Linked DNA regions of Tamandua tetradactyla. The protein of the gene in region 1 purifies or fractionates together with the protein of each later gene. This does not show direct contact. Links are inferred from orthologs where the notes say so. Each region holds a gene or a part of one and is shown in the gene's direction. Other genes may lie near its edges.

Region 1 (7,867 bases):
AAAAGACAAATATTGTATGATTTTGTTGAAATGAAATACCTAGAATAAGCAAATTTATAGAGACAGATAGTAGATAACCAGATTGGGGGATGGGGGGTGTTCTAGTTTACACGCCACTGGAATGCGATATACCAGAAATGGAATGGCTTTTAAAAAGGGGGAATTTATTAAGTTGCAAGTTTATAGCTCTAAAGCCATGAAAATGTCCAAACAAGAGGTTACCTTCAAGAGGTTACCTTCACTCAAGAAAGGCCAATGAAGTTCAGGGTTTCTCTCTCAACTGGAAAGGTACATGGCGAACATGACAGCATCTGCTAGCCTTCTCTCCAGTCTTCTTGTTTCATGAAGCTCCTCCAGGAGCATATTCCTTCTTCATCTCCAAAGGTCTCTGGCCGCGTAGGCTCTCAAGGTTCTGTGGCTCTCTGAAGCTTTTTCCAAAATATTTCCTCTTTTAAAGGATTCCAGTAAAGTAATCAAGACCCCCCCTGGAATGGTTAGAGTTACATCTCCTTCTAATTAAAGGTTAATACCCACAATTCAGTGCATCACATCTCAGTGAAAATAATCTATTCAAGTTCCCAACCTACAGTGCTGAATAGGGATTAAAAGAAGCGGCTGTCTCCACAAAATGGATCAGGATTAAAATATGGCTTTTATTGGGTTATAATCCTTTCAAACTGGCACAGAGGGCAAAGAGTTTTTATTGCTTAATGAGGGCAGCGTTTCAGTTTGTGGTCATGGAGAAGTTGCTGCAATGGATGTTGATGATGGTAGTACTATATTGTGAATGTAATTAATACCACCAAATTGTAGTTTTGAAAATGGTTAAAATGGGAAATTTTGATTTGTATATACAACAAAAAGTTTTTAAAAAATGGTGGGAAGATACATTTATCATATGGTTGCTTGGTGAGTCTGCAATAAAATGAGGTGAATTAGTAATATGGCTTTAATGATTGGTGTCCTCAAACAACCACCTCAAATAAGGATCGATGGATGAGAAATTCACACTCTGCCCCCTCAACGATTCTAGAGATACATCATCAAATATAGTCATTCTGGATTCCTCTTTTATGGATGGTAAGCAGGCCAACTCCCACTCATTAACACATTTCTTTCTTTAAACAAAAGCACAACACAGGCACTTACTCATCTATGTAGCAATCGAAATCCAGTCGTGACTCCCTGGAGTAACACCCAATCTCTAATGAATTTTGGGTGTTTACAATCTTGTGGCTTATTTCTAAAGATGAGTGATCTTATCTTACACATTTCAATTTTTTTCTTAATTTTGATTTTAATAAGGTAAATGAATTCATTTTGGAAGTCCTTTATCATTGGTCCAAACATATACTTACATTAATTTTTCACATTCTCTTTGATGATAATTAATTACTCTATTATTTCAGACATTGATCTTTATTAGGCTATCCAATTACAATCTAGTTAATGTTACATAATGATTGAGAGCCCTGAAGAAAGAACTGTGTTCATAATCTGGTTCTCCTTTTACTAGTTGAGTGGTCTTGAGCAAGTTTTTTTAACCTTTCTAAGCCTTGTTCTCCTTATCTGAAAAATTAGAACACTCACATTTGAGTGTTGTTTTGAAGACAAAATGAAGTACCATAAATGCATGTAAATGCTTAGAATAGTGCCTGACTAAAGCAATTTTCCTATTAATTATTAGTCCTGAGGCTTGACCTTAGTTTGATAAGATTTGTGTTTTTCCCAAATATTTATTTGCAATCTACCTACAATCACCAAGAAGCTAATATTTTAGTAGTGGAGACCACCAACAATGAATTGATATTTAATATAATATCAGGTTTGTCACCAGAATTTTGAAGGATTCTATATTTCTGAAGAAATATAAAGCCAGGTAAGGGGACAGAGAGTGCCAGGGATGCTAATTTAGATAAAGGCGGCCAAGGAAAAGCTTTGCTCAGGAGATGGTATGTGAACAGAAACCCAAACGAAACTAGGTGAGAAAATATGAGAATGTCTCAATATGTGAATGGGTGCTTGTTATGGTGCTTGTTTGCTGCATCATTTTGGCTCTTAGTCACACGTCTTTATATGGTGACAGAACTATTTATATTTCTATGACTTATATGCCAACCAAATTTTACAGTTCAGGAGGGAAGTGCCTGCTTCCTGTGTCCTTTAAATATCCTTTGGTTACTACATATTTGCCATGAGTACTTCAGTACTTCTTAAATAGTTTCCTGTCATTTCTGAAAATGAACTTAGAATTAGAAATCATTTGAGGAGAAACAAGAATTTGGGAGGTCCTATCAGAGGGAAGTAGCTATGGTATGAGGAAAAAGCGAATCTTGGAGAGATTGGGCTTGAATTCCAGTTTACTCTTTGGCTAATGTGGACTCGGACAACTTTACTGAGTCTGTTTATCCATAAAACGGGGATGATGATATTTAATTCATGTAATTGTTATAAAGGTCAAATGAAGTAATTAATATGGAAGATACTTGGTATGTTATAGGAGATCAATAAATGTTAGTTGACTTCGAATATTTGGAAGTTTGGAGTATCTTCAAAAATACTGGGCTGAGTTTGGTTCTCTGAGAAAAGAATTCTTAAAAATACTCCACTGTAGTAAAAAGTAGAGATAAGAATCTATGTTAATACCTAATGATAGGTAAAATTGAATGAACATCGTACTATGTTCTAAGAACCATTCTAAGCCCACTGCGTGGATTAACTCATTTATTTTTCACATTAGCCACACAACATAAATTATTATGCCCATCTAATACATGACAAACATGAGGCACAGAGAGTCTAAGTAACCTGCTCACAGTCACATGCTAAGTGGTGGACTTGGGGTTACGAACTGAGATAGTTTGATACTAAACTTATGTTGTTAACCACTAAACTATACAATTATAAGTTAAAGGATATTTATTTTATTACAGGCCATCATCTTAGAGCTTTTCTAAAAGAAAATCACTGTAGAAAGTGAAAATAACAAAAATACTGTACAAAAATAGAGTATGACATCAAGTACAAGTATATCCAAGTTTTAACAAAAGAATGAACAACAACAAAAAAGTCTGAACAAGGTTAAAAAAGAAAGGATATCAGATTAGTATTGACTAGGGATTGTTTTAGATTATATCTAAAACTCTGGCCAAACATTAAGCTACTATAGATCACTTACCTTATTACGCAATCTCACATCTTCTGTCTCAAAATCCTCTCATCTTAAGAAAAAAGGGTTGCTTAAAACTGATCAGAGACAAAGTCCCCTAACCTAAACAATATCTAAAATTTCAAAGACTGTCTTAAAAAAAAAATCATGGCTAGCACAATAGCAATATTGTTTAGAAATATATCATAGCAGATCAGATCAATTTGAACATGGTAGAAAAGCCCAGCAAAACAATGACTTTGGTTATCTGCCAGATCTAATCAACATTAGAATGGCAAAGAGGTAATTACATAATAAAAACAAGTTATATGTTTTGTCAAATTATTTAAAATCATGTCCCATGAGTTAATCTATAAAGACAATATACCAGTGTGAGGAATATATTAAGTTGAGAAAAGTGCTTTATATTTAAAGATGATAATCAATCATCCCAGACTTATAAATAGGAAGTACCATGATATTATGATGAGTCAAAGGTAGTTACCTATAAACTAGATAGCTTGATCAAAGAGAAGAGAACTTCAATACCTTACCCTATTTCATAAATTAAACTTTTCATTAACCATTCTTTTCCATAAAGATAAGGGATGTGGTAGTAAGGTAACAAATACAATCTATTTGTGTGGTTTAATAGAGGAATAAAGTATATAAGCCGTCTTCTATGTATATTTCAAATTGGAAACAAAACAAAACAAAATAACCACATACACACATAAAAACCTAATCACCAGGGGGTGCAAGTGTGGTTCAGTGGTAGAATTCTCCACTGCCATGCCGGAGACCCAGGTTCAATTCCTGGCCCATGTACTTCTCAAACAAGCAAGCAAGCAAACAAAGGAAAAGCCAACAAAGAAAAATTCAACAAATGGCGCTGCAAGAAGGGGATACTCACATGGAAAAAGAATAAGATGTGATCCCCACCATACAGCATACAAAAACAAAAAAAACAAAACAAAATAAAGACCTAATCACCAAATCTTTGACATGGCAGAACATAATGACAATAATTAAGGAAAGACACATGAAGTTTCCATAAAACATACGCAACAAGGCATGTGTAAAAGGGAGTGAAATGAAGCTCTGATAGCATACATAAGTATTATAAAAGTACTAGGATGACTGACAAGAGCGGAGAGTTTTGTGATCAAGATAAAAATTTATGTAAGCCATTGTTAAAAACATTTTTAGGGCAATGGTGGTGCAGTGGCAGAGTTTTCGCCCGCCATGCTGGAGACGCGGGTCCGCTTCCGGTGCCTGCCCACGTTAAAAAAAGAAAGAAAAAAAGCGTAAAAACGTTTTTAAAGAACATCATGGCTTTCTGTGCCATGTGGATATTTCCTTGCCTATTTCCTTGATTCTTTACTCTGTTATCTAGCATCATTGCAAAAATAGCACATCTAAGCTATCTATTCAAAGAAGATAATCAGATACTACTTTTAACCAACAGAAAACACCGACATCAACTGTAATCACTTTGAATAGTTTAAGTAACAGTACATAATCTCTGTAAGGAGAAATCCATTTACTTTCATTTTTTAGAATTCTAAGTATTTTAGAATCTACTAGAGCTAGACAAAAGTGTACCTGGTCATCTCTGACATCCAGGCAAACCAAACATACTAACATGCAATGACTGAGTTTTTGTTCAACCTCAATTATGTGTTAGTCAACCCAAGCATCCATTATGTACTCAATAATAGGTGTGACACAGCTTTGGACATCGGCAGCACAATAAGCAGGTAGGCACAGGCAGCCTGCTTGTACTAATTTTTCTGGGGTTACCATTCTTAAGCATGGGAAACAATGATGAGATAGCATCTTCCTTATTAGAACCTTATATTAGCATATTACTAGATTTGTGTGTGTGTGTTAGTAACCCGGCTGTGCAGGATAAGGCTGTCTTGAGAAATGACAGCTTGCTAGCACAATACCTTAGAGGGAAACGAAAAGTATGATGCTAGTGTGGGGACAAATTCGTAATTGGCAGTGACTGCTGTGAACATCGCAGTATTTTCCTGAACATTAACGCCTCTAATGAAGGTAGCGACAATTATATAGAAAAAAAGTCTGGAAATTTTAAAGTTGCACTGATGTACATCATAATGTAACAAAGTATACAAAAGTAAAAATAAAAACATGGTTTTAAACAACAGCAGAGAAACAGCTGATCCTTAAAGGCACGCAGTTGCCTACGAAACATTTATAGTGTCCAATGCATTTTCAAAGCAGGTTACTGTCATTACCACAGCACACCCTTGTGAGGTAAGTGTATGAACCCGTGGCTCATAAATGAAAAAACCGAGGTACTGAATGATTAAGTCACTCGCCTAAGGAGAATGAGTCAACGTCAAGAGTCATAGTTGACCCGGCCTAACGACTCCTGACGGTCAGTCCAGGGCTTAGTCAGCGGGGCCCAGAGTGGCTTCCCTGGCTGGCACCTGGACTTAGGTTATTTCCGTTCACTTTAAAGGAGGATAGTGGAACCGAGAGGACAGAGCTGCCAAATAAGTTTTACTTCCAAGCAAGTTTTGGCCCAGAGGTTTAATCTCAGGATTTGGGTCAGAAAACGCATTCGGGTCCACTCCCCCTCACCCCCAACGGTGGCAAGTGGGTACTGTGGGCGGTTCAGTCCAACTCCTCTCGCAACGAAGGCCATGAGTGACCACCGGCAATAGCAGAGCTGGGGGACGGGGGAGGATCGATTGCTTAAACACAGATTCTCCGTCCATCACCGTCTCTTTTTGAAACTAAAAGAGAAAATGGTGGTGGGAAGTCAAAAGAAAGCTAAATAAATACATAGGCTACTTGTCCTAGGACTTCCAACTAAGCAAATGAAGCCTTATTGTGCGTGCTGAGCCTGCAGTTCCCAGCCTACAGGGGAAGATGGGAGGATAGGGCGACGAAGGGCACAGTAGGCATGCCGGGCAGTAAGTGCGACTGCAGACATCCAGGCGGAAGAGCAGAGGACTGAAAACCACCCTCCGGCAAGAGAGTGTCAGCCGCGCGGAAAACTGCGCACCCTATCCATCGACCACGTGACCAGACTTTTTTTTTAAAAAACTTCTTTGCCCTTAAAAAAAAAAAAAAAAAGGAGACTCCACTTCCCAGAAGCCTCTCGATACTCACGCAGCCGCAGTCTTGCGCAGGCGCCGCCAGGGCCAAACGGACACGTCTGTCACGTGGCAGTAGCCAGCCAATCCGGTTTGAATTTAATTTTTTTCCTCTCACCCCCCCCTCCCCTTCAGGAGCGGTTGTGCGATCAGATCGATCTAAGATGGCGACTGTGGAACCGGTGAGTATCGCTTTTGGCCCCCACCCCCACAGGTCCCCGCGCTCTGGCTCCCTTCGGACAGGGGGACCCCGCGGGATGTCGTTCCCGGCGCGCACGCTACCCTTTACCACCCCCTCCCCCTCCTCTTGGGCTTAACCTGCCCGCCGGTAACTGGGGGCGCCCCGGAGGCTGGCCGCGGCAGCGTGTCGCTCACACGTTCTAGTGGGGGCCGGGGAACTGGGGAAGAAAAACGGGGGAGGGGCGGCGCGGTGCCTCTTGCGGAGCCGCGAGTTGTCTGCAGGGGTAGAGGGTGTTCCGGACCCTGGGCTAGGTGTGTGGATACTGTTTCTTTCGAATAGGAGGGCGCGGGGCTGGCTTAGGGCGGGCGCCAGAATCTGTAGGGAGGGTGGGCGAAGAACCGGCCTGGAACGTGATGGAGGAGGGAGCTCCGGCCAGCCTTTTCCTCCCTCCCGAGTTCCTCCCCAGGGGCTCGGGTATGGGGCACGTGCGAGAGTTTTCCTTCCGTAGACGGGTGGGCTGGGGAGCCAGGGGGCGCGTGTTGTCGGTGGAGGGGTGGGCGGGAGTGGTGCCTTCGCACGCGCGGGGATCTTCGACCTCGCTGGGGGAAGCTGAGAGCGGTGAGCGCATGTTGCTTCAGCGCGCCAGAGAGTGCCGAGTTTGGCGTCGAGGCAGTAGAGAAAGGTGTGCGTGGGGAGGAAAGCCCCGCGTCGTGCTGTGAAGCCCTACGGATGGAATGAGGGGTGGAGGTGGTGAGAAGGGGGCTCACATTGTCCTCGCCCCTCAGTGCTTAAGTCTCGGCTGTCATGGAGGAGGGAAGGGGGAGGAGCAAGGCCTACAGATCGCTGCGGCTGGTCTGATTGCCGGCGGGACCTGCTGCCTTTCACACGCGCCTGCCTTCCATTCATTCATCCTTTTCGTGCAATGCGCACGCCTGAGCGAATGCGAATGGCCCTAGATCCGTGTGTTTTTTTCTACTCTTTATTATCGAAGATTTCTAAGACAACTTACAGGAAATTAAATTTTCCATTTGATTCTGTTCTTAATTTACCCATTCTTTAGGCTTTCCTTTCAATTTAGGCACCATTTTAAATTTAATTGAACCGAGCAGATCCTGAGACAGAGAGTTGATAGTTACCCCTCAAAGGAGTGATTATCTTTGTCATAGTTTGGGTTTGCCGGCACATGCCCAGCGAAGCTTCTGAGTCCAAGCTGACATTTCATGAATGTGACACCTAAGTGACAACATTTTGGGGCATTAGCAACCAGAAAACAATTGACACTCAGTTTCGAACCAGTTCTAGGCCTTGGTTGCCAGATACTTTTATAAATCTATGAAGGTAGTTTGTGATTTTGATATGGTTCGCTAAGTTGTTTTGACTTTATAACTACCTCAAAAATTCTAGTGT
Region 2 (7,741 bases), on another chromosome or scaffold:
TACAAAAAGCAATAAATAAAGTTTGGTATGGGTTACAGTTCCACGATTTTTCATTTTTTCTTCTAGCTGCTCCAAGACACTGGAGACCAACAGAAATATCAATATAATGATTCATATTCATTTGTTAAATCCTATCTTCACTTTTATACTCCTCCTTCTCTTTAACTAACATACATTCATAAAAGCAATAAATTTCTAAGTACATCACAGCAATTAGTTGTAGAACAGATTTAGGAGTTTGGTATGGGCCACTAATTCCACAATTTTAGGTTTTTATTTCTTAGCTGCTGTAAGGTACTGGAGGCTAAAAGAAACATCAGTATAATGATTCAGCACTCATACTTGTTTGTTAAACCCAAACCATTTTAATTATTTTTAAGTATACAATTCATTGACATTAATCATATTTACAATATTTTGCTACTATCGTCATCATCCATTACCAAACTTTGTCATCACCCAAAAGAGAAACTCCATACCCTTTAAATAATAACCCCCCAGTCTCCCTCCACCCAGTCCCTGGTAACCTCTGATCTGTTTTCTGTCTCTATGAATTTGCTTATTCTTGACATGCCATAGAAGTGGAATCATTCAGTATTTGTCCTTTGTGTCTCAGTTATTTCACTTAGCATAATGTTTTCATGGTTCATCCATATTGTAGCATGTATCCATAGATAATTCCTTTTATGGCTAAATAATATTCCATTGTATGTGTATACAACGTTTTATTCATCCATTCATCTGTGGATAGACACTTGCATTGTTTCCACCTTTTGCCTGTCATAGATAATGTTACATGAACACTACTGTAAAGTATCTGTTTAAGTACCTGCTTTAAATGCTTTGGGGTATATACCAAGAAATGAAATTTCCAGGTCATGTAGTAAATCTAAATTTAACTCTTTTGAGGAACCACCAAACTGTCCTCCATGGTGGCTGCGCATTCCCATCAGCAATGCACAAAGGTTCCAATTTCTCCACATCCTCACACTTATTTTTCATGTTTTAAACTAATAATCACCCTAGTGTGTGTGGAGTGGTTCTCCTTAGCTATTTAAATGTTAGCATGTTCTAGGAGTCTTTTACTTTTCCTCCTAGAATCTCCCTCTTGGAAGGCTTACCAATTCCATGATTTTAACTCATTTCTAAGCGGATGACATACTGCTTCAAATAGTATGGCTGTGCAACAAGTCATCCCCAAACTTAGTGGCTTAAAACAATGACACACATATATTTTGCTCATGAATCTACAGTTTGGAGGCTGAGCAGAGATCGTTTGTCTCTGTTCTGATCCATATCTGCTGGGGCAGCTTCAAGCTGGGACTGGGAATTGGAAGGCTCACTCAGGCATAATTGTGGTGGTTGATGCTGGCTCTTGGATAACATCTCAGCTGGTGCTGTCACCCAGAGCTCCTACAGGAAGCCTCTTCATATGGCTTGGGCTTCCTCACAGCATGGTGACTGAGTTCCTAAAACGAATGTCCCAAGAGAGGAAACCAGGTGGAAGCTGTAACCTTTTTTAAACCTAGTTTGAGTCATATAAAATCACTTTCACCTTACTCTCTTGGTGAAAACCCGTCACAAGCCCCTGCCCAAATTCAACAGAAGTGTCTTAGTTTCTTAGAACAACTGTAACAAGGTACTACAAACTGGTTGACTTAAAAGAAGAAAAATGTATTGCCTCACAGTTCTGGGGGCTAGAAGTCTGAAATGTGAGGTGGAGAATCCTTCCTTAACTCTTCCTGGCTTCTGGTGCTTTGCTGGCAATTCATGGGCTTAAATCTCTGCCTCAGTTGTCACATGCCATTCCCCCTGTAGTATGTCTGTCTTATAAATGCATCAGTCATAAGAATTAAAGGCCCACCCTACTCCAATATCACCGCATTTTAACTTGCCTAATTCCATTTGTAATGACCTTATTTCTAGATAATGTCACATTTTGAGGTACTGGGGAATAGGAGTTCAACATAGCTTTTTGGAGGATGCAATTCAACCAGTAACAGGAAGGGAACAAAGACACCACCTCTCAGAAGGAAGAGTATTCAGATTTGGAAAAGTAACTGGCATTGCAAATAGTGTAGTGATCATTTCTGGAAAACACAGTCTGCCACATGTACAAGTCTATGTCATCAACACTGCTTTCTCCTAAATTCTGATCCTACATTACCAGTTTCCACCCAAATATTTTCATCAGAAGTTTCATCCCAACGTCATCTCCAAACTTAAATGTTCAACATTAACTTCATTCTTGCATTATCTGCTAAAGTAGGAGCTCTTTGATGGCAAGAACCATGTGGAATTAACCTATATACCCCTAATTTTGGTCTAAGTCCTGATATAGTGGGTGCTAAGTCAATATTTTCTGAAGGAAGGGATTTTCTCCAATAAACCTACTCTTCCCACGTTTTTCCCATTTAGGATAATGACCCCATCATTTTCCATGTCTCCCAGGCACGGAAACTTTTGACTCCTTCTCTCTATTCAATCAGATATCAAATTCGGTCAATCTTGCCTCCAAAATATCTTTCAAACTAGTCATACTCTTCTAAATCACAGCTGAAATTGCCATAGTTAAGGTCAGCAATATCTCCCCCTTGGCTACACTCCTTGCTGTACAAAGTACTGAGTGTTAGAAATGCAGAAACTTGGGTTCCACCCCAGACTTACTGAATAAGAATTTGCATTTTAGGCATATTATAATTTGAGAACCATCGTTAACAGTTTCCCCTACCTCTATCAAATGAATCTCACATTCAATGTATATCAGAACCACCTGGAGAGCTATATAGCCCACAGGAGCCCAATCTCTTGGAGTAAGAGCCTGGACCTGTGTATGGTTATCAAGTTCCACAGATGACTGTAATAAGAGACAAAGTTTAGGCACCATTTATCTAGTCACTAGTCTAGTCCACACCAATTAAATAAGCGTATTTGGAGGTTGAGCCCCAGCAATTTACCAGACAGCAGACCTAAGTATACAAGGACAACTAGAGAACCTTTCCAAAGTTTAAGTAAAGCGAAAATGTGACTTTATGAGGAAGCTTGCCTGGTTTTATTTCATTCTATTTCATCTTTATCTTCGACATTTTAGTACTGTCGGAACCAGAGGCCAGCCGTTCCACCTGTATTTGAGGGAATTAAAGAACCAAAGCACTGACGGGGGATTGTAGCAATCCTAATATTGAAAGGGAACTCCAAGATGAAAGCAGGTCCTGGCCAGAATAGTCAGGACTAAGAAGTCCATCCTCACCCACTCACCTTGCCAGTTCCCCTAACTTTATTAAGGTAGGTGATAGGATTCCTTTCAGGCAGATGTTATTATTCCCATTATACCAGGAAGGAAACCAAGGCTCAGAAAAAAATCATAGATTTCCCAAAGTCACACAGCAAGGATCAGAGCTCCTTCCATCATATAGTAATGATAACAGGAACTCCCTAATAATAAGTACTGTATATCAGGGATGTGCTAAGAGCTTTATGAAGCATTATCTCATTTAATCTTCTCCCAAAGCGTTGACTTGGACATCTAATGGACATCTCAACGGTGACACATCCAAAAATGAACTCAGGATTAATTTTTACTCCATTCATAGCTCTCACTATTTCAACTGATGGTGACTTCTTCCTACTAGTTCCTCAGCACAAAAACTTTCACACCTCACGTAAAATTTCTCAGAAAATTCTGTTGAAGCCACCCTCCATCCTCAAAATATATGCAGAAGATGGCCACATCTCGCCATTTACACTGCCCTAGTCCCAGACGCTATCATCGCCTAGTTACCTAGTAGCCTCCAAACAGGTCTCCCTGCTCCTCCTCGCCCACCTTCCTCTGTTCCCTCAGTATATCCTTATCGAAGTAGCCAGAGTGATCCTTCTAAAACTAAGACTGATCATGCATAACCCTTCCTTGCTCAAAACCCTGCCATGGTTCCCCACCACACTCAGACTAAAAGTCTAGGTATTTACTGTGGCCCACCAAGTCCTTAATGATCTGCCTCTACCCTCTGCTCAGAGGTTCACCTCCTGCGGCTGTCCCCCATGACCTTAACAACAAATGGCCTCCTTATACACGCCCTGCCCACGCCTGCTTACCGCCTTTGCCCCAGCTGTTTCCTCTACCTGGATGGCTCCTTCGTTAGATACTGGTTACCTCCCTCACCTCCTTCAAGTCTTCATTCGAATCTCATATTCTCATTATAATTTACCCTGCCCTCTCCAATCCTGATTTGCCCTCACCTTCCTCTACTTTTTCCTTTCACAGGACTTGTCACCTTCTAACATTATATGGTTTACTTATTGTCTTTTCCCACTCGAATGTAAGCCCTTCAAGGACAAGGATCTTTGTTCTGTTCACTTACATAGCCCAAGCGCATAAAAGAGCACCTGCCTCATATTAGGCACATGAATTTTGAATGAAGCCACTTATATACCCATTTTCCATTTAAATTCGTGAAAATACAAATGGTGAGCATTCGGTCGCGCTCTGGCGCCATCTGGCGACACCTACGCAGACTCAGTTGTTTCTCTTGACCCAGCGCTCTCCCAAGTTTCTTCGGAACTATTTAGCTTAGTTCTCACCGCGTGCGCATCGGACGGAAAGCAAATGAGCACGCACTCCGGAAGAAATCATAAACACCAGGAAATTTTAGTGCTTCGTGGACAGCATCAGGAGCCAATAGGCACAAAGATCTCGCTCACGTGATCCATATTCAGCCTATCGAGGTCCTAATTTTCTACAACGCAGTCCTTTCCTGTCTCTTTTCTCAACAAGATGGCCACGCCGGCTGCACCCGGGAGTTCTCCGCCTGCCACTCCACCTCCGGCGCCGGCTACTACCCCGGCACCAACCCCATCTGCAGCTTCGGCTCCCGCTGCGGCTCCGGCTCTAGCTCCAGCATCGGTCCCGGCCCCATCATCCGATCCGGCGGCGGCAGCAGCTACGACCACAGCCACGGGGCAGACCCCGGGCTCAACGCAAGCCCCGGCGCAGACTGCCGCGCCCGCGTTGCCTGGTCCGGCCCTCCCGGGGCCTTTCCCTGGCGGCCGCGTGGTCAGGCTGCACCCGGTCATTTTGGCCTCCATCGTGGACAGCTACGAGCGTCGCAACGAGGGCGCGGCCCGAGTTATCGGGACCTTGCTGGGTGAGTGATGAGAGGAAATTGAGATTGAATTCAATTTCTCTTGTCTACCACCGCCTATTTATCTCGCCCCCACTCAATTAACCCTTTTATCCCTGATGTCCTGCCTTCTTCATTCCCTGGCCTCTTGCCTCCCCCTCTTCTCACTACAATGACTTGACCTTTTGCTTCTCCGACCCACCTTTTTTCTGCTACTTATCTTCCCAGAGAGTTTGACTCTCTTTCCTGCCGGCTTGCTGTCACTTTGGGCGACAAATAATGAGTAGTTATCACTTACTGAATAAATATTGTGGGGCAGGTGGCTTACATTTTAACTGTCCAACAGTATTTCACTTCAGGTCTGATTAGCTCCAGTCTACCAGAAATGAGTTCAGTTGCCGATTCTAGGAAGCGGCTAGCTTGGAACTAGAACCCTGAGCGTAGTGACCGCGTTCTTCCGCCTTCCGGTAAATGTCTCTATCTTCTAGGTGTATACAAAGGAGTTGGCAAAAGAGCTGGACGTCTTTAAAAAGAGATCTGTCCCAACAAGTTAACCAATTTGGCTGGAATCCGTTTAAGATTTTATACTATTCTGCTTTCCTAAACTTCTGAGCTTGATCCTGTGTTCCTAAATTTCCAATAATACTAGTTCCTGAAGTGGTAGACCCTGTATCCCCGGTGCTGCCTTTAATCCTCCATTTGGACACAGACAGTTTTATTATTTGTGGGATGTTCGGCTTGAATCTTAAAACTGAAGAAGAATCTTTTCCCTGTCCATGTTTCACTTTTATTTGGGGAATAGGTATTTTTCTTTAAAGTAGTTTTAAAGAAGCGAAAAGCACCAAAGGGCAGAGAGGGATTGTTAATAATAAATCCTTTTCTCTGGGCCCCTCAGATACATTTCCACTCCATCTAGTTGTGCGTTTTAGACATCTTTGTGTGTCCACACCCCCATCTCATGGATCATTTCTTTTTCTTACTCTTAGACATGTCCTTACACTCTAGAAGATAATTGGTGTATTACAAATAGGACAAAATTTATAACTAGACTCCACATATTAGCCATGTGCCTTGGGGAAAATTACCTAGCTTTTTTCAGTGGCTACTTCAGACTTAGTCTTTCTGAGAACTAAATTATTACAGAAGTCACCTAACAGTGCTGGCACACATTAGATATGAAGCAGCAGTTAGTTACTGTCTTCTACCTGGTCAGGCCTATACGCATTCTCTTTTTCTCTCTCTCTCTCTTTGAGGGTACAACGATTGTATTTACAGGAACTACTTGATCCGTTACCTGTCAAACATTGCCATGACTTTTCTTAATCTAAGCTTCTGCATTCTATTTGCCACAAATGTCTTCCCTGTTCTGCCTCATCTTTTTTCTTTTTCTTTTTTATATTTCTTTATTTTGAGTGCCACCCATCTTCGAGGTTCCTAGGGAAAATGTCCAGTATCAATCCTCCATCCTATACCCCACCCTCATCTCAGTAGTAATCCCACTGAGTCTCATAGCATTCTGGAACTGTACCCTGCTCTATAACAAATGATTTTTCCATCACTGACTTGACACTTGACAGATACTTACTCTTTTAGCTATATTGTAAAATTTTCAGAACTCAATAGCGAATAGTTCTCCACCCAAGATTTATGCTTAGTGTCTCATATATTACAGTGACCCTAATTAGACCAGCTGTAATCTAGATTCTCAGATCCTATTTCAACCTGGGATTATAGGTATAGTACTATGTGTTACAGGAATAATGCTTATTGATAATTGACGCATAGATTCTGCCTGCTAGAAACTTACGGTTTTCTCAGGTAGGTTGTAAATAATGCATGAAACATATTTCATTTCGTTAAATGAAGTCACCTATGCTTCTTAAATACCAGAAACTGTTAGATACTTAGAATTTAAAATTGAGAAAATAAACCTTATACACGAGATGGAGATACTCTTATATATAAGTAATTAGAATATAATGTGATTATATATAAGTAATTAGAATATAATTTGATAAATGTTCCAGTAGAAAGGTATTCAAAGTGACGTGGAAGTCCATAAAACTATTTTGGAAGTTTGGGGAAAGCATCACAAAAAAGATGACATTTGAGCTGGGCATTAAAGCAGATGCAGGAAGTATAAAAAGTTCCACTAGCTGAGTGGTTCAGCATTAGAGGAATATAGAAGAAAAGATATACGACAGGAAATGAAGCTAGTGAGGTGTAGAGTCATAAGAGATATTAAATAATTACAAGTGTGCAAAGTGCTGTGAAGAAGGTTAGGAAATTATGGAAAGACAAAATGGCACCCTCATTAGGTTTGGGGGTACGTGGGGGAAGAACACCTTAACTGTGGCATTTCAGCTAAGACTAAATAGGAATTGATGATTCTGCCTGCTGTTTGTAGAGTGGATAACAGAGAAATAGGTTATTTGTGGACACCAGATAGAAGCTATTTTAATAATTTGGAAGTGGGGATGGAGAGGAGTGAGTGAGTTGATAGGACATGGTATGAATCAGAAATGAGGGATTAAAAAGAAAGTTTCAAGGATGACTTCTAGGTCTCTGATTGGGTGTGGAAGAGATGGGGGGAAATGTAAGGGTTGATTCAGTTTGGAACTTTT
Region 3 (7,826 bases), on another chromosome or scaffold:
TATTTTTCGAAGATTTGTAGATTTAACTCTTTTTGGCTGGTGGCTGAATTACCCACAGAATAAACATAGTACCATAACCCCATTGTTTTTTATTTTGAAGATGGAGAATGAAGGCCAACTAGCAATTTACTGTAAAAGCAGTAAGCAGAGGGAGTAATCATCTTAGTTATTCACTAATTGGAAGGGGATAGGAAGAAGAAAATCAAAGATGAGGGGGAAACATTTTATAAGAAAATAATATCCAGTTGTCTGTTTAGTTCTCTGATTGCTTAATCTTTCAAGACCCAAACATATCTTCTGAAGGCACATTTGGGTTTCAGATAATTACAACTATCTTTTTTTAGTACCCAAAGCCTGTCTTTGTCCTTGGAACATAGAAGAGCAGACTTTTTTTTTTTATAGCCTCTTAGCACCTGACTGAGTTCTTCATCAGAACATATGACAAGAATTATGACTGGGGGAGTAGATACAACATCAGTCCAGACCACAGAGGGAAAAATAGTTCTCTTCTTATAATTTTTTAAAATTGTGAAATAGAACATATATACCAAAACAAACAAAAAAAGCAATAATTTCCAAAGTGCATTTTAACAACTAGTTACAGAATAGATTTCAAAGTTTGGTATAGGTTACCATTCCACATTTTCAGGTTTTTTGTTCTAGCTGCTCCAAAACCCTGAAAGCTAAAAGAAATATCATTATAGTGATTCAGCAATCATACTCATTTTTTAAATCCTCTCTTCTCTAACTCCTCCTTCTCCCTTGATCCTACACCTAATCTATAGGGGTCTTTGGACTATAACTATTCTAACTTTTTCATGTTGAAAAGGGGTGTCAACAATACAGAATAGGAGAATGAAATTAGTTGATGTTCTAGAGAGGCTGGCTCCTCTAGGTTTCAGGACTTATCTGGCCTAGGAAACTCTGAAAGTTATAGGTTTCAGAGTAAACATAGTGCATGAAACTTGTTTGACTTAAGTATGACTTGACTTAGAGCCCTAGGTATTTGTTAGGATTAACGGGAATGCTGTTTGTTGGGGATTGGCAAACCATGGCAAATAGTAATACCTAGCTGAAGTTTGTATAAGAGTAGCTTCCAGAATAGCCTTTCAACTCCAACAAATAATTCTCAAACAGCTCTCCTCAAAGGGTTGTTTCCAGGTTTAATGCTGTTCTAGTTTGCCAGCTGCTGGAATGAAATATACCAGAAACGGAATGGCTTTTAAAAGGGGGAATTTAATAGGTTGCTAGTTTACAGTTCTAAGGCTGAGAAAATGTCCCAGTAAAAGCAAGTCTATAGAAATGCCCAGTCTAAGGCATCCAGGGAAAGATACCTTGATTCAAGAAGGCCAATGAAGTTTAGGGTTTCTCTCTCAAGTGGAATGGCACATGGTGAACACAATCAGGGTTCCTCTCTCATCTGGAAGGGCCCATGGTGAACATGGAATCATCTGTTAGCTTTTTCTCCTAGCTTCCTGTTTCATGAAGCTCACCGGGAGGCATTTTCCTTCTTTATCTCCAAAAGTCGCTGGCTAGTGGACTCTGCTTCTTGTGGCTATGTCGTTCTGCTCTCCTCTCTCTGAATCTCTTTCTCCAAAATGTCTCCTCTTTTATAGGATTCCAGTAAACTAATCAAGACCCACCCAAATGGGTGGAGACATGTGTCCAGCTAATCCAGCTTAACAACCACTCTTGATTAAATCACATCTCCAGGGGGATGATCTAATTACAGTTTCAAGCATACAGTTGTGAATAGGGATTAGAAGAAACTGCTGCCTTTACAAAATGGGATTAGGGTTAAAATATGGCTTTTCTAGGGTACATACATCATTTCAAACCAGCACAAATGTTCACGTGAAAATGTATGCAGACTTAACAAATAACTTAAATAAATTTCCCCTTTTTAAAATGAGGAAATAGTGCTTTTTACTTTATGTAAAATCATATTTATATTTCCCAGTTTTTATGCTGAAAAAATTCATATCTACAGAAAAGCTGAAACTACAGTTCAATGAGCAAATGTATACCATTCAACCAAATTCTGATATAATTTACAATACCAGTATCACACTGACAATTAACATTAATTTAATAATGTCATCTAAAATTCAATTCCTATTCAGATTTCCGTGCTATTCTCTCAAAATGTCTTTTATAGCTTAAAAAGATACCAAATCCAATCGAGTTTCATGAATTACATTTGGTTGTGTCTTTTTGTTCTCCTTTAACTTCTAAGTCTCACTTTTTTTTTTTACTAGTTTTCATTTCATAGACATTTAAAGAAGGACCATTTCATTAATATAATAGCTTCATTTTTTATTTGTCTAACTGTTTTCTCATGATTAAATTCAGGGCAAACATTTTTGGTGGACTATCACACAGTTTCTGGTGTGTATCTCTTACTACTTCCTGTCAGGAGGCACTTAACAGATTGTCCCAGCAATGGTGACACTAGGTTTGATCACTTGGTTAAGGTGGTGTTGGCCAGATCTCTGCATTGTAAAGGCTCACTTCCCTTTTCGTACTAAATAACTAAGCTGTTGGGGTAATACTATATGACTGTGAATATCCTTAGCCTCACAAAATTTCATCCAATGGTTTTGGTGTTCAATGATGATTTTTTTTCCTGAATGAATTTTCATATTTTATCATTTTTCTACATCTGGCATTCTCCCAGCTTTCCCATGCACTACCCCTTTCTTTCTCTTTGAGTATCACTATGGACTCAGGCATTATTATAGTCAGTGTTTTATAATCCATAATGTGCTTTTGAAACTTAAATCACCCCACATTTGGACACAGGAAGCCCCTTCAGGGTGATCTCTTTATTCTTTCTGTGGTTTGTGGCATAAAATAACTCTGGCACAAGATAACTCGGGCTCACCTTGTACTTTTCCTATTTCAGATCTAGAATCAGCCACTTCTCCAAGGACTTATATTCTGAAGAGGTCACATATCCACATATTCAAAAGACATATAGCATATTATCCCTCCTAGTTCACTCCTCCTCTGTAGACAACCAATATTATTAATTTTCGTGTATTCCTCCAGAGACAGTTTATATATAGAGCAAAGGCACACATACATTCTTACCCAATCCCAACTTTTTCACCCAAATGATAACATATTACACTTACTGAGCTTGTCTGCCCTTGTAGTTCTTATCTGTCCTCAGATTCTGAAGGACCCCACCACAAAAAGATTCGGAAGCATTAGGCCATGTCCCAAATGTTGCAGATAAGAAAACTAAAGCTCAGGGAGGATGACTGCCTCAAATAATCTCTGGAATTGGAATTTTCTTTCTTCGTTAGGCTCCATGTCTACTCAGCTTTCAAACTTCACTTTCTTGGGGAAAACTTTCTCTACCTTAACACCCCCTCCCCAAATTTAGTTTTTTAATAAGGTTTCAGTACACTTTGTAATGCTCCTTCCTAGCACATACGTAAGCCACCGTGTCAAGATTTATTTAGCGCCTCCGTAAGGGCAGGGAATACATTTGTTTCGTTTCTCGCCTGCCCACAGTAGGTACTCAACAAAAATGCAGGGGGTGAAACTCGAACCCAGGCAATCCAGCCTTCAAGGCAACTCTTCTTTCTACTACAGTCCCACTGCAACCAGAGAATTAGTTCTAATATGTAAATAAAAGCCTTCTCATGGGAAAAAGCTGGAAAATCTTTCCATTTCTACTATTAATGAAGGTTGGGAGGGGACCATAGCAGAAACTGCTCACCGCTAGGTGTGGCGACTGCAGGAGGGCTTCAATCAAGTAAATGCCCCCCTGCCCCGGAGGCGAGTAGAACCTCACAGAGTCAAAGCCACGTGGGCCAGCATCACAGCTTCAATGGAAAACACGTGCAAAACGGGGAGGGGGGCTGTGCACAGCTGTGGTCACCCAAGTCTGTGGGAGAGGAGACAAGGAGCAGCTCTCATCTAGTCAGAGAAGACTGAAGTGTCTCTGCGGCTCAGAAGACCCAGGCCTCTCCTGATTCCTGGCCGGGGGATCTACTGCTAGCTTCCAGCTGAGTCCGGGGCTCCCAAATAAAACAGGCCGGAACTGCCAAGGGCCCGGAGCACTTTAAATCTAGTCATCTTAGCCCGCTGGGACAGAACTAAGAGTCAAGGCTCTTTCTGGAGCAACCCCAGGAATCCTGGGCACACGCTCCAGCTAAGAGCTCCGGAGGCGCCGGGGACAACAGCCAGTGCCACACTTACTCCAGGGTGCGCGCCGTTCGGGAAGCCTACTTCTAGGCCTGCGACGGCGCAGCCCTGTCATTGGCCTCTATACCCGCTGGGCCCAACTCCGGCTGCCCGTCTCGTGGGGCCCGCCGGGGGATCGCTGTCGTCACCCTGGGCCAGGGCCTGGGTCAGAGCGCCAGAGTTGAGGCGGACGAACCTTCCAGCGAGGGTCAGGGCCGTTTGAGTCCGCGCTCTAGCCAGCTGCTTATCTCCTACCTCCCTCGACGGGAGTGAGCCCCGGGTTTCCCTCTAGGGCGACCCGGGCAGGGGTGTTAGGAGCCCTGAGAAGCGGTGGCAGCAGCTAGGTACCTGGACTCAGGGTCCAAGGAGCCCGAGAGCGGGCGCGCCCCTAGGGCGGAGAGCTCGGCCAGCGGGGGCGGGCCAGGGGTGGGCGGGAGGCTGCTCCCGGGGCCCCGCGCCATTGGCCGCGGGGCCCGGCGGCAGGAAGGGGCCAGTTAGCGCGGCCCCACCCCGCGGTCGGCGGAGCCTATCGCCGGGAGCGGCTAGCGTGGATAAATGTAGCGCCGCGGCGCCGGCGGGCAGCTCGCGGAGGGGCCGCAGCGCAGCGGAGCCATGCAGTACCCTCACCCCGGGCCGGCGGCGGCAGCGGGCGCCGTAGGGGTGCCGCTGTACGCGCCCACACCGCTGCTGCAGCCGGCGCACCCGACGCCGTTCTACATCGAGGACATCCTGGGCCGCGGGCCCGCAGCGCCCACCCCCACCCCCACCTTGCCGTCCCCCAACTCCTCCTTCACCAGCCTCGTGTCCTCCTACCGGACCCCGGTGTACGAGCCCACGCCGATTCACCCAGCCTTCTCGCACCACTCTGCCGCCGCGCTGGCCGCCGCCTACGCACCCGGCGGCTTCGGGGGCCCTCTGTACCCCTTCCCGCGGACCGTGAACGACTATACGCACGCCTTGCTCCGCCACGACCCCCTGGGTAAGGCGGCCGGGGTCACGGCGGGGCCGAGCTGGGGCGGCGGCGAGGAAGGCGCCACCCGGCAGGTGGCAGCGCCCGGGAGGCGGCGGGGACGGAGGGGGGTAGGCAATAGAAAGTTGTAGCAAAAGCGATTGAAAAGCGGCTCTCCGGTGCGCGCGGCAAGTGGAGGCGAAGGCCCGGGTAGCGCGCGGCCGGGACTGACCGCACGATGACTCAGATTGGTTTTCCTGCACCTTGCAGGCGTCGGGGCGCGCGGCCGAGGCGAGACCTCGGGCTCTGCTGACAGGGCGGGCGGCAGAGCATAACCCCGAGCCGCGCGTGTCGCCCCGGGTGGGGCTCCCTTTGTGAGAGGGACCGAAAAGGGGTTGCTGAGGCGCCCCGGGTCGGTCCCTGAGGGACAGAGATAGCTGCCAGGCCCGGTTGGTTACGGGACTGGACCTGGTTCAACAAGCTTGTGCAGTGAAAGAGCCTGACCCTTTACGTTCATACAGGAAATCTTGAGTTCTCGATAGGAGTAAATCTGGTTTCAGAAGCTGTTAAGTGTTTTCCTGGCTGCATGAAGCAGACCCTTCCCCCGGAGTAGTGCACGCTGCTGATTATTTTATCGACATCCTCAATACAGACAAATTCAGGAAACACTCGACTTCTGATAGCCGGGATCCGTTTTTCTGATATTGTTCATTTCCTCCGTGTGGGATGTGACTTTATGGCAGCTAAAATAACCAGTTGCTTCCTTTTTTTCCCCCGAGGCTGTTTTGCACCAGTCTGAAGCCTGACGCAAGCAAAATCTCGAAAAAACAATGCCAGCTTTCAAAGTGGTTAGCGGCAAACCGGCAGACAGACGGACTGACGCACTGACGGACAGACCTTTGGAGTAGGAAGCTGCAATCCCCGGGCCAAGATAGGAAGGGCAGCGCGGGCACGTTGGCCATATAGAATTTGCGGGGTTTGTTTCCCTCAGTTCCTTAAGCAAAGAGGCTGCCCAGTTCCGCGCCCCAGACTGGTCCTTGGGGTCTGAAGCTCTGGGGACGGATAAGGAAACTGGGCAACTGGCCTTACTTAGGGTTTAAAATCAACTCTGTGTTATTGGCAGCTTCAGTAGCGACCCTGGGGATAATTCACGTTAATTTAATAATGCCATTTTTATTATGGCGCGGCCTGTAGCTCCGTCTTCCACCTTCTCTCTCAACTTCAGAAAAATTTTCAGGGGATTATATTTTAGGGGGTTTTCTTCTTAAGTTATTATATTGTAATTTTGATTCGAGCCTCAAGGTTTGGTGCGGCAGCTCCGGACCGGGACAGTCAGCTGGGCTGGGCCTGGAGGGCGAACGATTGCACAGAGCGCGCTCTGGGTTTCCTTGGGTTACTGCTGGGGCTGCGCAGGAGGAAGCAAAGGGTTTTTCGAGATAGACCAACAGGAAACACATTGACGGAAATGTTGCCGTAACCCACGGGGTGGCTTTAACTGGCCATCCCCGCGGACTGAGCGTAAAATCAGAGGATGCCGCGGCTCCCTCGGGCCAGGATTGGAGGAACCTCGCATGGCCTAACGCGGGCGCCTGGCTTGAGAGCCCCCATCCCACCCGACCCCGCCCCGGCCCCGCGCGCACAGCCAAGTCTCGTGGTCCCAGGAGTCTCAGGCGACCGACCCCGGGCCACCAGTGCCTAGGGTAGTGTAACAGCCCACTCCTTCCCAACACGCGCACACCGGGAATTTGGAACGTGCTGCTCACCAAGGGAGAGGATCCGAGGATGCAAAAAGTTTTGTGAATAAATTTCAGTGTGACTGGTGAAAGAAGGTCAACAGTAGTGGGTGTTCTTTAGGGTGTTAAAAGATTTGTGTGTTTGTGTCTAGCTTAGGTGCGATGGTTGTATGTGAGTGTCTGTGAGTATACTGCACGGACTATGTGCGTATGCAATGTAGGTCTGTCACTTTGGGTAGATTATGTGCATACACAGTCTAGGTGTTTGTATTTGTGTGTGTGTATGTGGATATTCATGTGTATTGGCGGAAGCGAGTTGGGTTCATGTGTATGCTGTGGGTGTATGTAGACATGACTGGCTGGGTGTCCTCCTGCATCTCCTCCCCCTTTCTGCCACCCCTTACCCCCACCCCCAACCCCCTCCAGGCTAGATAGTTCTGGGGTCTGCAGGGAGCGCCAGGGCCGCTGTTAACCGCAGCTCTTCCTGTCCCCAGGCAAACCCCTGCTCTGGAGCCCCTTCTTACAAAGGCCGCTGCATAAAAGGAAAGGCGGCCAGGTGAGGTTCTCCAACGACCAGACCATCGAACTGGAGAAGAAATTTGAGAACCAGAAATACCTCTCTCCGCCCGAGAGGAAGCGTCTGGCTAAGATGCTACAGCTGAGCGAGAGGCAGGTGAGCACCCTGTAGGACCTTCTCTGGAAGGAGGCTCCTGGGGTGCGGGTCGCCGCGGGTCTGGAGTACCACGCGGAGCCACCACGGTGCGCTCTGACTCATCCCGACGGTCTGCCTAAACGCCTGGAGGGCTGGCAGGGTGGGTCTGCTCCACCGCCTCTAATCCTCTTCTGCCCTTCTCCCCCAGTCCCTCAGATTTCTGGGTCAGTGGCAAGTTTTCCCTCTTTCTTTCCTGTAGGTCAAAACCTGGTTTCAGAATCGACGTGCTAAATGG
Region 4 (7,779 bases), on another chromosome or scaffold:
TATATTTTAGTCTTTTCCCCCCTATTTTTTCTATACCCCTTATCACTCCCTTTCATTCATCACTAGCATTTCAATCTACTAAATTTGTTTTAATATTTGTTCCCCCCAATATTTATTTATTTTTAATCCACATATTTTACTCATCTGTCCATACCGTAAATAAAAGGAGCATCACACACAAGGTTTTCACAATCACACAGTCACATTGCAAATGCTATATCATTATACAATCATCTTCAAGAAACATGGCTACTGGAACACAGCTCTACATTTTCAGGCACTTCCTTCCAGCTTCTCCATTACATCTTGACTAACAAGGTGATATCTATTTAATGAGTAAGAATAACCTCCAGGATAACTTCTTGACTCTGTTTGGAATCTCTCAGCCATTGACACTTCGTCTCATTTCACTCTTCCCCCTTTTGGTCAAGAAGGTTTTCTCAATCCCTTGATGCTAAATTCCAGCTCAGTCTAGGATTTCTGCCAGGAAGGTTTATACCCCTGGGAGTCATGTCCCACGTAGAGAAGGGGAGAGCAGTTAGTTTGCTTGTCATGTTGGCCGAGAGAGAGGCCACGTCTATCTTAGCTCACTATTGACCCTTCTTATTTGGTTGGCTGAGTTCCAGAGTTTGCTGTTATTCTTTCAGGTGAAAGGATGTATCTAGATGCCTACCTGTCCTCATTGTCAAGGACAAAGAATGGGGGTGGGGAGGGCTAGGAGCTAGGCAGGGGCCTCATGGGTCCAATGTAAACCTAAATGGAACAGGAGTAGTTCAAGGGTGCAAGAGGGGTAAATTGATTCCTAAGAGTTTGACTTAGCTTCTCTTCCTTCCAATCCAAAATTTAATTTCTGAGCAGGAAGAGGAGCTTGCAAAATCTCCCATGGGTTGAAATTAATTGCTAGCATTAAATACATGTGGTTCTCCCACAGTCCTATTTGATGAGAGGTTGGTGAGAGCAACAGCCCCCTGGCCTTGCCAGATGTGATGTTTCCACTCCTGGACCAATGATCCTGAACCAGACAGGGATTCCTGAAAGCTAAGCATGAGATCCAGAGCTCAATCTGTCTGCATCAGCAAGATTGGATGTTTTGGGGGAAGCCATACCATGTGACCAGATGGCCTGTCAGAGCTTAGCCACCCTACACTTTGGATGGGGTGAGCTTTAGTGGTAGGGGTCCTATGTTTTGACCATCCAGGTTCTAGGATGGTGGGTTTCTGATGTGTCATTGCAGGACTGTGTCTTTCTCAGTCTTTGCCACTGACCAAGCCCCAACATTTCCAGTCTGAGAAACAAGGTCCATGTGATATGAGGTGGAAGTAGGAGTATCCTGACAGAAGATATGTATTCTCCTTCCAGCTCAACCCTGGAACTTTTGTGTGCCCTTAGGAAAGTAAATCTTAATTTCCTCACTAGTTAAATGATTCTGGAATTCCATCTGAGCAGTAGAGTGCTGGTAAATGTTTAACATCAGGCTCCCATGAAAAAATCCTGATTCGTAATGCTAGCCAATTTATGTGGTGTAAATATTCCCAAAATGTCTGATTTCAAGCTACCAATGTGATGTCAACCACTGCACAAAATGAGAATTAAAGTCACTTAGAGCCAGTATGAGCCAGTTCCAAGAAATTACTGCATCCAACTCTCACTACCTGTTTGCAGGCCTTGAACCTGAGTCAATGGACACATCACCCCAATTCTAGCGGGTCCTAGGCAAGGAAAGATGGAGACTCCGGAGTCCCTGTGATCATGGGGTGTTATACTGAGGCAGCCCCCAAGGGCCTAATGGTGAGACATTGGATGCCTTTTCACCTTTAATCTCAGTCTCAGGAGGTTCGTCATCATCCATGGCGCCAGGGACCTCTCAGGAGCTGCTGCCAGGTTCTTGCCACTTTTTTGCTGCTACTCTGAGAAGCACACCTGCCCATTCATCTCTGGCTTAAAGTTTGTACATCCTGCCCTTGCACAGGCAAATTCCAGGAAGGATTATAGTTATCCTTCCAACCCAGCAAGCCCTGGGGAGAGTGGGCTTTGGAAGGAATGGGACATGCATGGATTTGGCCCCAACTCTGTTTGGGAGAGGAGGCTACTTCTTCTACTCATCAGGGAAAGTAGTACAGCTCTATTACTGGGAGTCCTGTCAAAAGGATGCTGACCCACCTGCGACTTTGTGACTTCAGAGCTACTTTCATTTCATCTTCAACATTCCATGACCTCATGCAGTCATTGTGATCTACGTGGGTAGACCTGGCAACAGCAGGCCTCCCACCCTCTTGGTGACTCTGGCAGTCATCTTTTCTCATATGTTCACTGGGGCCAAGCTCAGGCTTGGCTGCGAGTGCTCAGGTGCTGTAGGGAGGCCTCTCGGTGGTGTTGTATTTCCCTCTGAGTCAGGACCAAACCCAAGCCCCTTAATCTGGTGATTGTGAAGAGCTGCCACCATGTTCTTCTCTCAAGGTGGCTGTGCTTCAGGTACGAGGTATTTCAGTGATGGGTGAAGTCAGGTTTCTCCAACCCAGTTCTTCTGCCTTTTTTCGTCCCCTCTTGGGAGAGTGCCCTCAACTTTAGAGAATATCAAAAGCAAAGCACTACAAACATATGTTTATCACTACAGTTTTCTTGCAGCCAAATCATTGTTCAATCCAACTACTGGACTGCCTAACTTGAAACCACTCAGCCATCGTTCCCACGCTTAGCCATTTTCACATGTCTTGGAGCTGAAGTTTAGTTGCAGTTTACTGCCAAGAGAATCCGGAGGCGTGTTTGTCCCTTCTTGATAAACTTTCAACACATCAATGGTCAGGTCAGTGACTGGAGGGCTTGGGGACATAAAAATCCCTTCTTGCACTCAGAAGAATGATGAAGTTTGGGAAATCGTGTAGAGAAAACATAGTTAGAAACATGGATGGAAAGAAATTTGTAAATCTGAGATATTACTCGTTGCAAAACACTACGCAAGGCACAATGAGGGGGATGCAAACATGACTAAGACATTGTCCCTTATGTACAATATAAGTTAGAAATCAACAGGGTTTGAGGGCCCTGCCTGGGTGAATAATTTTGGCAGAACCTCTGCTCATATAAACAATTTGAGTCACCCCAGATTAGAGTGGCAACACCATTCTGGCAGCCCAATCTCATGTGGCCCTTCAAAAAGAAACACTGGACAGACAGAAGGAGTTATCAATTCCTAAAATGACTCCATAAACAGAATCCTGGAGATCCTCAGAGCATCTGGTCAACCCCATGCTGGTGTAGAGGATGAGAGAGAAACTTTAGGGGGAGTAAAAGAGACCAAGGAACATGGGGGTCTTGGTTTAGGCTCCAGCTACTCTGCCTGATGGCACTGTTGGCTTCTTCTGGTCCCAGCTACAGAGGGGTGAGTTAGAAAATTTGGAGGAAGTCACTTCAAAGAGCTGCTGCCAGAGGCACTGTTGCCTGGGACTGCGATCGATATTGGACATTGATAAAGGTAATGAGGGAGAAGTTCTGGGAGTGCAGGGGAGAATGAGGCTTCTCCCTGCTGGGGAGCATCCATGTAGATAAGTAGAGTCTGGGGGAAAGGCATTTTTGGGATGAAGGAAGGCAGCAGAGTCATAAGAAGTCAAGGTGGGTTTTGGAGAGTGCAGGGTATGAAGGAGAATGGGGAGAGGGAAGTCCATGAGGGCCAGAGCAAACTCAGGGACAGTTTCAAATGCAATCAAAAGGCAATAGGATGTTGGAGACCCAGGTTGGACTCCCGGTGCCTGCCCATGCCAGCAACAAAAAAGCAATAGGGATCCATTAAGCAGAGCTATTTTTAGAATTTTTGCACATGCGTCAATTCTGGAAGAAAATGTTCAAAAACCATCATTTAGGAAACAAATCTTTTTTTCAAATTAAAAAACAGGAACCAAAAAATGTAAACTGGCAATATATTATTTTAATTTCTTCATTGCTGAATTGTTTAATTTCTTCATTTTTTGAATTAAACTTTGTTTTTTAAAATAATTTTAGACTTTCGGAAGAATTACAAAAATAGCAGAGAATTCCTGTATACCTTTACCCAGCTTACCCTTATGTTAACATCGTACATAACAATAGAATAATGATCAAAACTAAGAAATTGACACTGATACAATATTATTAACTGAACTACAGACTTCATTTGTCTTTTACCAGCTTTTACACTAATGTCCACTTTTTGTTCCAGCATCCAATCTAGGGTCCCACATTTAAATCACATATCCATAGTCTACTCAATCTGTGAGATCTCCTCAATGTGTCTTTCATGACATTAACACCTTGGAAGATTACTGGTCAGGTATTTTGTAGAATGTCCCTCATCTTGGGCTTGAGATTGTGTTATGGGGAAGTATACCACAGACATGATGTACTCTTTTCAGGGCATCATATTAGGGGCATAAAATCTTTTTTTTTTTAAATATTTTTATTGATAAAACTTAACATACAAACATTTCATACATGATGTACAGTCAATAGCTCAAAATATCATCACATAGTTATGTATTTATCATCATGATCATTTTCTGAACATTTGCATCACTCCAGAAAAAGAAATAAAAAAGAAAAAACTCATACATAGCATACCCCATACCCTTCCCTGTAATTGACCACTAGTATTCCCATCTACCCAGTTTATTTTAACCTTTGTCCCCCTATTATTTATTTTTATGCATATTTTTTACTCATCTATCCATACTTTAGATAAACGAAGCATCAGACACAGGGTTTTCACAATCATACAGTCACATTGTAAAAGCTGTATCATTATACAATCATCTTCATGAAACAAGGCTACTGGAACACAGCTCTACAGTTTCAGGTACTTACCTTTAGTCACTTCAGTATACTATAAACTAAAAAGGGATTTCTATATAATGCATAGAATAACCTCCAGGATAACCCCTCGACTCTGTTTGAAATCTCTCAGCCATTGAAACTTTATTTTGTCTCATTTCTCTCTTCTCCCTTTTAGTCAAGAAGGTTTTCTCAATCTCTTGATGCCAGGTTCCCACTCATCCCGGGATTTCTGTCCCGCTTTGCCAAAGAGATTTACACCCCTGGGAGTCATGTACCACATAAGTGTGGGAGGGCAGTGAGTTCAGTTGATGGATCAGCTTAGAAAGTGAGGCCACATATGAGCAACAAAACAGGTTCTGTAGGGGTGACTCTTGGGCCTAATTTTAAGTAAGCTTAGCCTATCCTTTGCAGGAATAAAGTTTCATTGGGGTGAACCCCAAGATTCAGGGCTCAGCCTATTGATTTGGTTGTCCCCACTGCTTGAGAGAATGTCAGAAATTCTCCAAATGGGGAAGTTGACTATTTTCCCTTTCTCTAGGGCATAAAATCTTGATATATATTAGAATTCATCACTTGGTCAGGGTGATGTCAGCCAGGTTTACCCACTATAAAGACGCTGTTTTTCATCTTGTATTTAATAAATGTTTGGTGGGGGAGGGGAGGGATATTTTAAGATTATGTATCTTTATTTCTGCTTAAACTTTCATTCACTAATTTTAGCATCCATCATTGGGTCTTGCCTCAGCAATTACTATTGTGGTGTTCTCAGGATGTTTTCTATTTCTCACAATTCTTCTGCATTTATTAATTGGAATTTGTCTATGAGAGAGTCTTCCCTCTTTTTCGTTTATTTATTCAATTGTTTATATCAGTAGGGACTCACTGATATTTGACAAACTATTTTTATTTATTTTGTTGTCCAGGTTCCAACAGTGGTCCTTGGGAGCTCTTTTGTGTTGGCTCCTATGCTCCTTTAACATTTTGCCATTAAGAAAAAAATTTTTAATTTTTAATTTTAACATTTGTTCCCCCTATTATTTATTTATTTTTAATCCATATGTTTTACTCGTCTGTCTATAAGGTAGATAAAAGGAGCATCAGACACAAGATATTCACAAACACACAGTCACATTGCGAAAGTTATTACATTATACAATCATCTTCAAGAAATATGGCTACTGGAACACAGCTCTACATTTTCAGGCAGTTCCCTTAAGCCTCTCTATTACACCTTAACTAAACAGGTGATATCTATTCAATGCATAAGAATAACCTCCAGGATAACCTCTCAGCTCTGTTTGGAATCTCTCAGCCATTGACACTTAATCTTGCCTCATTTTGTTCTTCCCCCTTTTGGTTGAGAAGGTTTTCTCAATCCCTTGATGCTGAGTCTCAGCTCATTCCAGTATTTCTGTCCCACGTTACCAGGAAGGTCCACACTCCTGGGAGTCATGTCCCATGTAGAGAGGAGGAGGGCAGTGAGTTTGCTTGTTGTGTTGGCTGAGAGAGGCCACATCTGAGCAATGACAGGTTTTCTTGGGGGTGACTATTTTTTTAATTTTTTAAAAAGTACCAAAAAACACCAAGCACAAACATTCTTAACTTTTGATCATTCCATTCTACATATATAATCAGTTATTCACAATATCATCACATAGTTGCATATTCATCATCAGGATCATTTCTTGGAATATTTGCATCTATTCAGAAAAAGAAATAAAAGGAAAACAGAAAAAAGTTCATACATACCATACCCCTTACCCCTCCCTTTCATTGATCATACATCCCATTCACCTTTCATTGATCACTAGCATTTCAATCTAAACTTATTTTAACATTTGTTCCCTGTATTATTTATTTTTATTCCATATGTTTTACTCGTCTGTTGATAAGGTAGATAAAAGGAGCATCAGACACAAGGTTTTCACAATCACACAGTCCATTGTGAAAGCTATATCATTATACAATCATCTTCAAGAAACATGGCTACTGGAACACAGCTATGCATTTTCAGGCAGTTTCCTCCAGCCTCTCCATTACATCTTGACTAACAAGGTGATATCTATTTAATGCGTAAGAATAACCTCCAGGATAACCTCTTGACTCTGTTTGGAATCTCTCAGCCATTGACACTTTATTTTGTCTCATTTCACTCTTCCCTCTTTTGGTTGAGAAGGTTTTCTCAATACCTTGATGCTGAGTCTCAGCTCATTCTAGGATTTCTGTCCCACATTGCCAGGAAGGTCCACACCTCTGGGAGTCATGTCCCACATAGACAGGGGGAGGGCGGTGAGTTTTGTTGTTGTTTGGCTGGAGAAAGAGGCCACATTTGAGCAACAAAAGAGGTTCTCTTGGGGGTGACTCTTAGGCCTAATTTTAAGTAGGCTTGACCTATCCTTTTTGGGGTTAAGTTTCATATGAACACGTCCCAAGATTGGGGGCTCAGCCTGTTGCTTTGGTTGTTCCAACTTGTTTGTGGGAATATCAAGAATTCAACTTTGAGAAGCTGAATTTTCCTCCTTTGTCACTGTTCTTGGGGATGACTCTTAGGGCTAATTTTAAGTAGGCTTAGCTTATTCTTTGCAGGGTTAAGCTTCATATGAACAAACCCCAAGATTGGGGGCACAGACTATTGCTTTGGTTGTCCCCACTGCTTGTGAGAATATCAAGAATTCTCCACTTGGGGAAGTTGAATTTTCCCCCTTTCTCACCATTCCTCCAAGGGGATTTTTAGGCACCATTTATTGAAGAGACTGTTCTGTCCCAGGAGAGTTGGCTTGACTGCTGTATCAAAGATCAATTGTCCATAGATGAGAGGGTCTACATCTGAATACTCTATTCGATTCTGTTGGTCAGTATATCTATTTTTATGCCAGTACCATGCTGTTTTGACCACTGTGGCTTCATAATATGCCTTAAAGTCAGGTAGCGTGAGATCTCCAACTTTGTTTTTCTTTCTCAGAATATTTTTAGCTA

What was found.
Region 2: the proteins of EIF4E (region 1) and EIF3F purify together in Homo sapiens (affinity purification with mass spectrometry; 3 studies listed by BioGRID and IntAct, with this or other methods). This does not show direct contact. The link is inferred for Tamandua tetradactyla from reciprocal best matches to the Homo sapiens genes EIF4E and EIF3F.
Region 3: the proteins of EIF4E (region 1) and HHEX purify together in Homo sapiens (affinity purification with western blotting; 3 studies listed by BioGRID and IntAct, with this or other methods). This does not show direct contact. The link is inferred for Tamandua tetradactyla from reciprocal best matches to the Homo sapiens genes EIF4E and HHEX.
Region 4: the proteins of EIF4E (region 1) and ANGEL1 purify together in Homo sapiens (affinity purification with mass spectrometry; 3 studies listed by BioGRID and IntAct, counting the BioPlex papers as one, with this or other methods). This does not show direct contact. The link is inferred for Tamandua tetradactyla from reciprocal best matches to the Homo sapiens genes EIF4E and ANGEL1.

What each region holds. Positions count from the first base shown.
Region 1 is NC_135350.1:26,667,174-26,675,040, forward strand, and holds the start of EIF4E (eukaryotic translation initiation factor 4E), read left to right. Parts: upstream 1-4,851; 5' UTR 4,852-4,908; intron 4,909-5,396; exon of another isoform or gene 5,397-5,431; intron 5,432-5,516; exon of another isoform or gene 5,517-6,414; 5' UTR 6,415-6,443; coding exon 6,444-6,461; intron 6,462-7,867. UniProt on the Homo sapiens protein: Acts in the cytoplasm to initiate and regulate protein synthesis and is required in the nucleus for export of a subset of mRNAs from the nucleus to the cytoplasm which promotes processes such as RNA capping, processing and splicing.
Region 2 is NC_135334.1:82,118,179-82,125,919, forward strand, and holds the start of EIF3F (eukaryotic translation initiation factor 3 subunit F), read left to right. Parts: upstream 1-4,735; 5' UTR 4,736-4,771; coding exon 4,772-5,141; intron 5,142-5,445; exon of another isoform or gene 5,446-5,525; intron 5,526-7,741. UniProt on the Homo sapiens protein: Component of the eukaryotic translation initiation factor 3 (eIF-3) complex, which is required for several steps in the initiation of protein synthesis.
Region 3 is NC_135339.1:52,461,996-52,469,821, reverse strand, and holds the start of HHEX (hematopoietically-expressed homeobox protein HHEX), read left to right. Parts: upstream 1-4,809; coding exon 4,810-5,176; intron 5,177-7,373; coding exon 7,374-7,552; intron 7,553-7,790; coding exon 7,791-7,826. UniProt on the Homo sapiens protein: Recognizes the DNA sequence 5'-ATTAA-3'. Transcriptional repressor. Activator of WNT-mediated transcription in conjunction with CTNNB1.
Region 4 is NC_135338.1:36,131,238-36,139,016, reverse strand, and holds the start of ANGEL1 (protein angel homolog 1), read left to right. Parts: upstream 1-4,764; 5' UTR 4,765-4,786; coding exon 4,787-4,825; intron 4,826-7,779. Other genes in the region: LRRC74A (leucine-rich repeat-containing protein 74A), read right to left, coding at 1,813-1,849.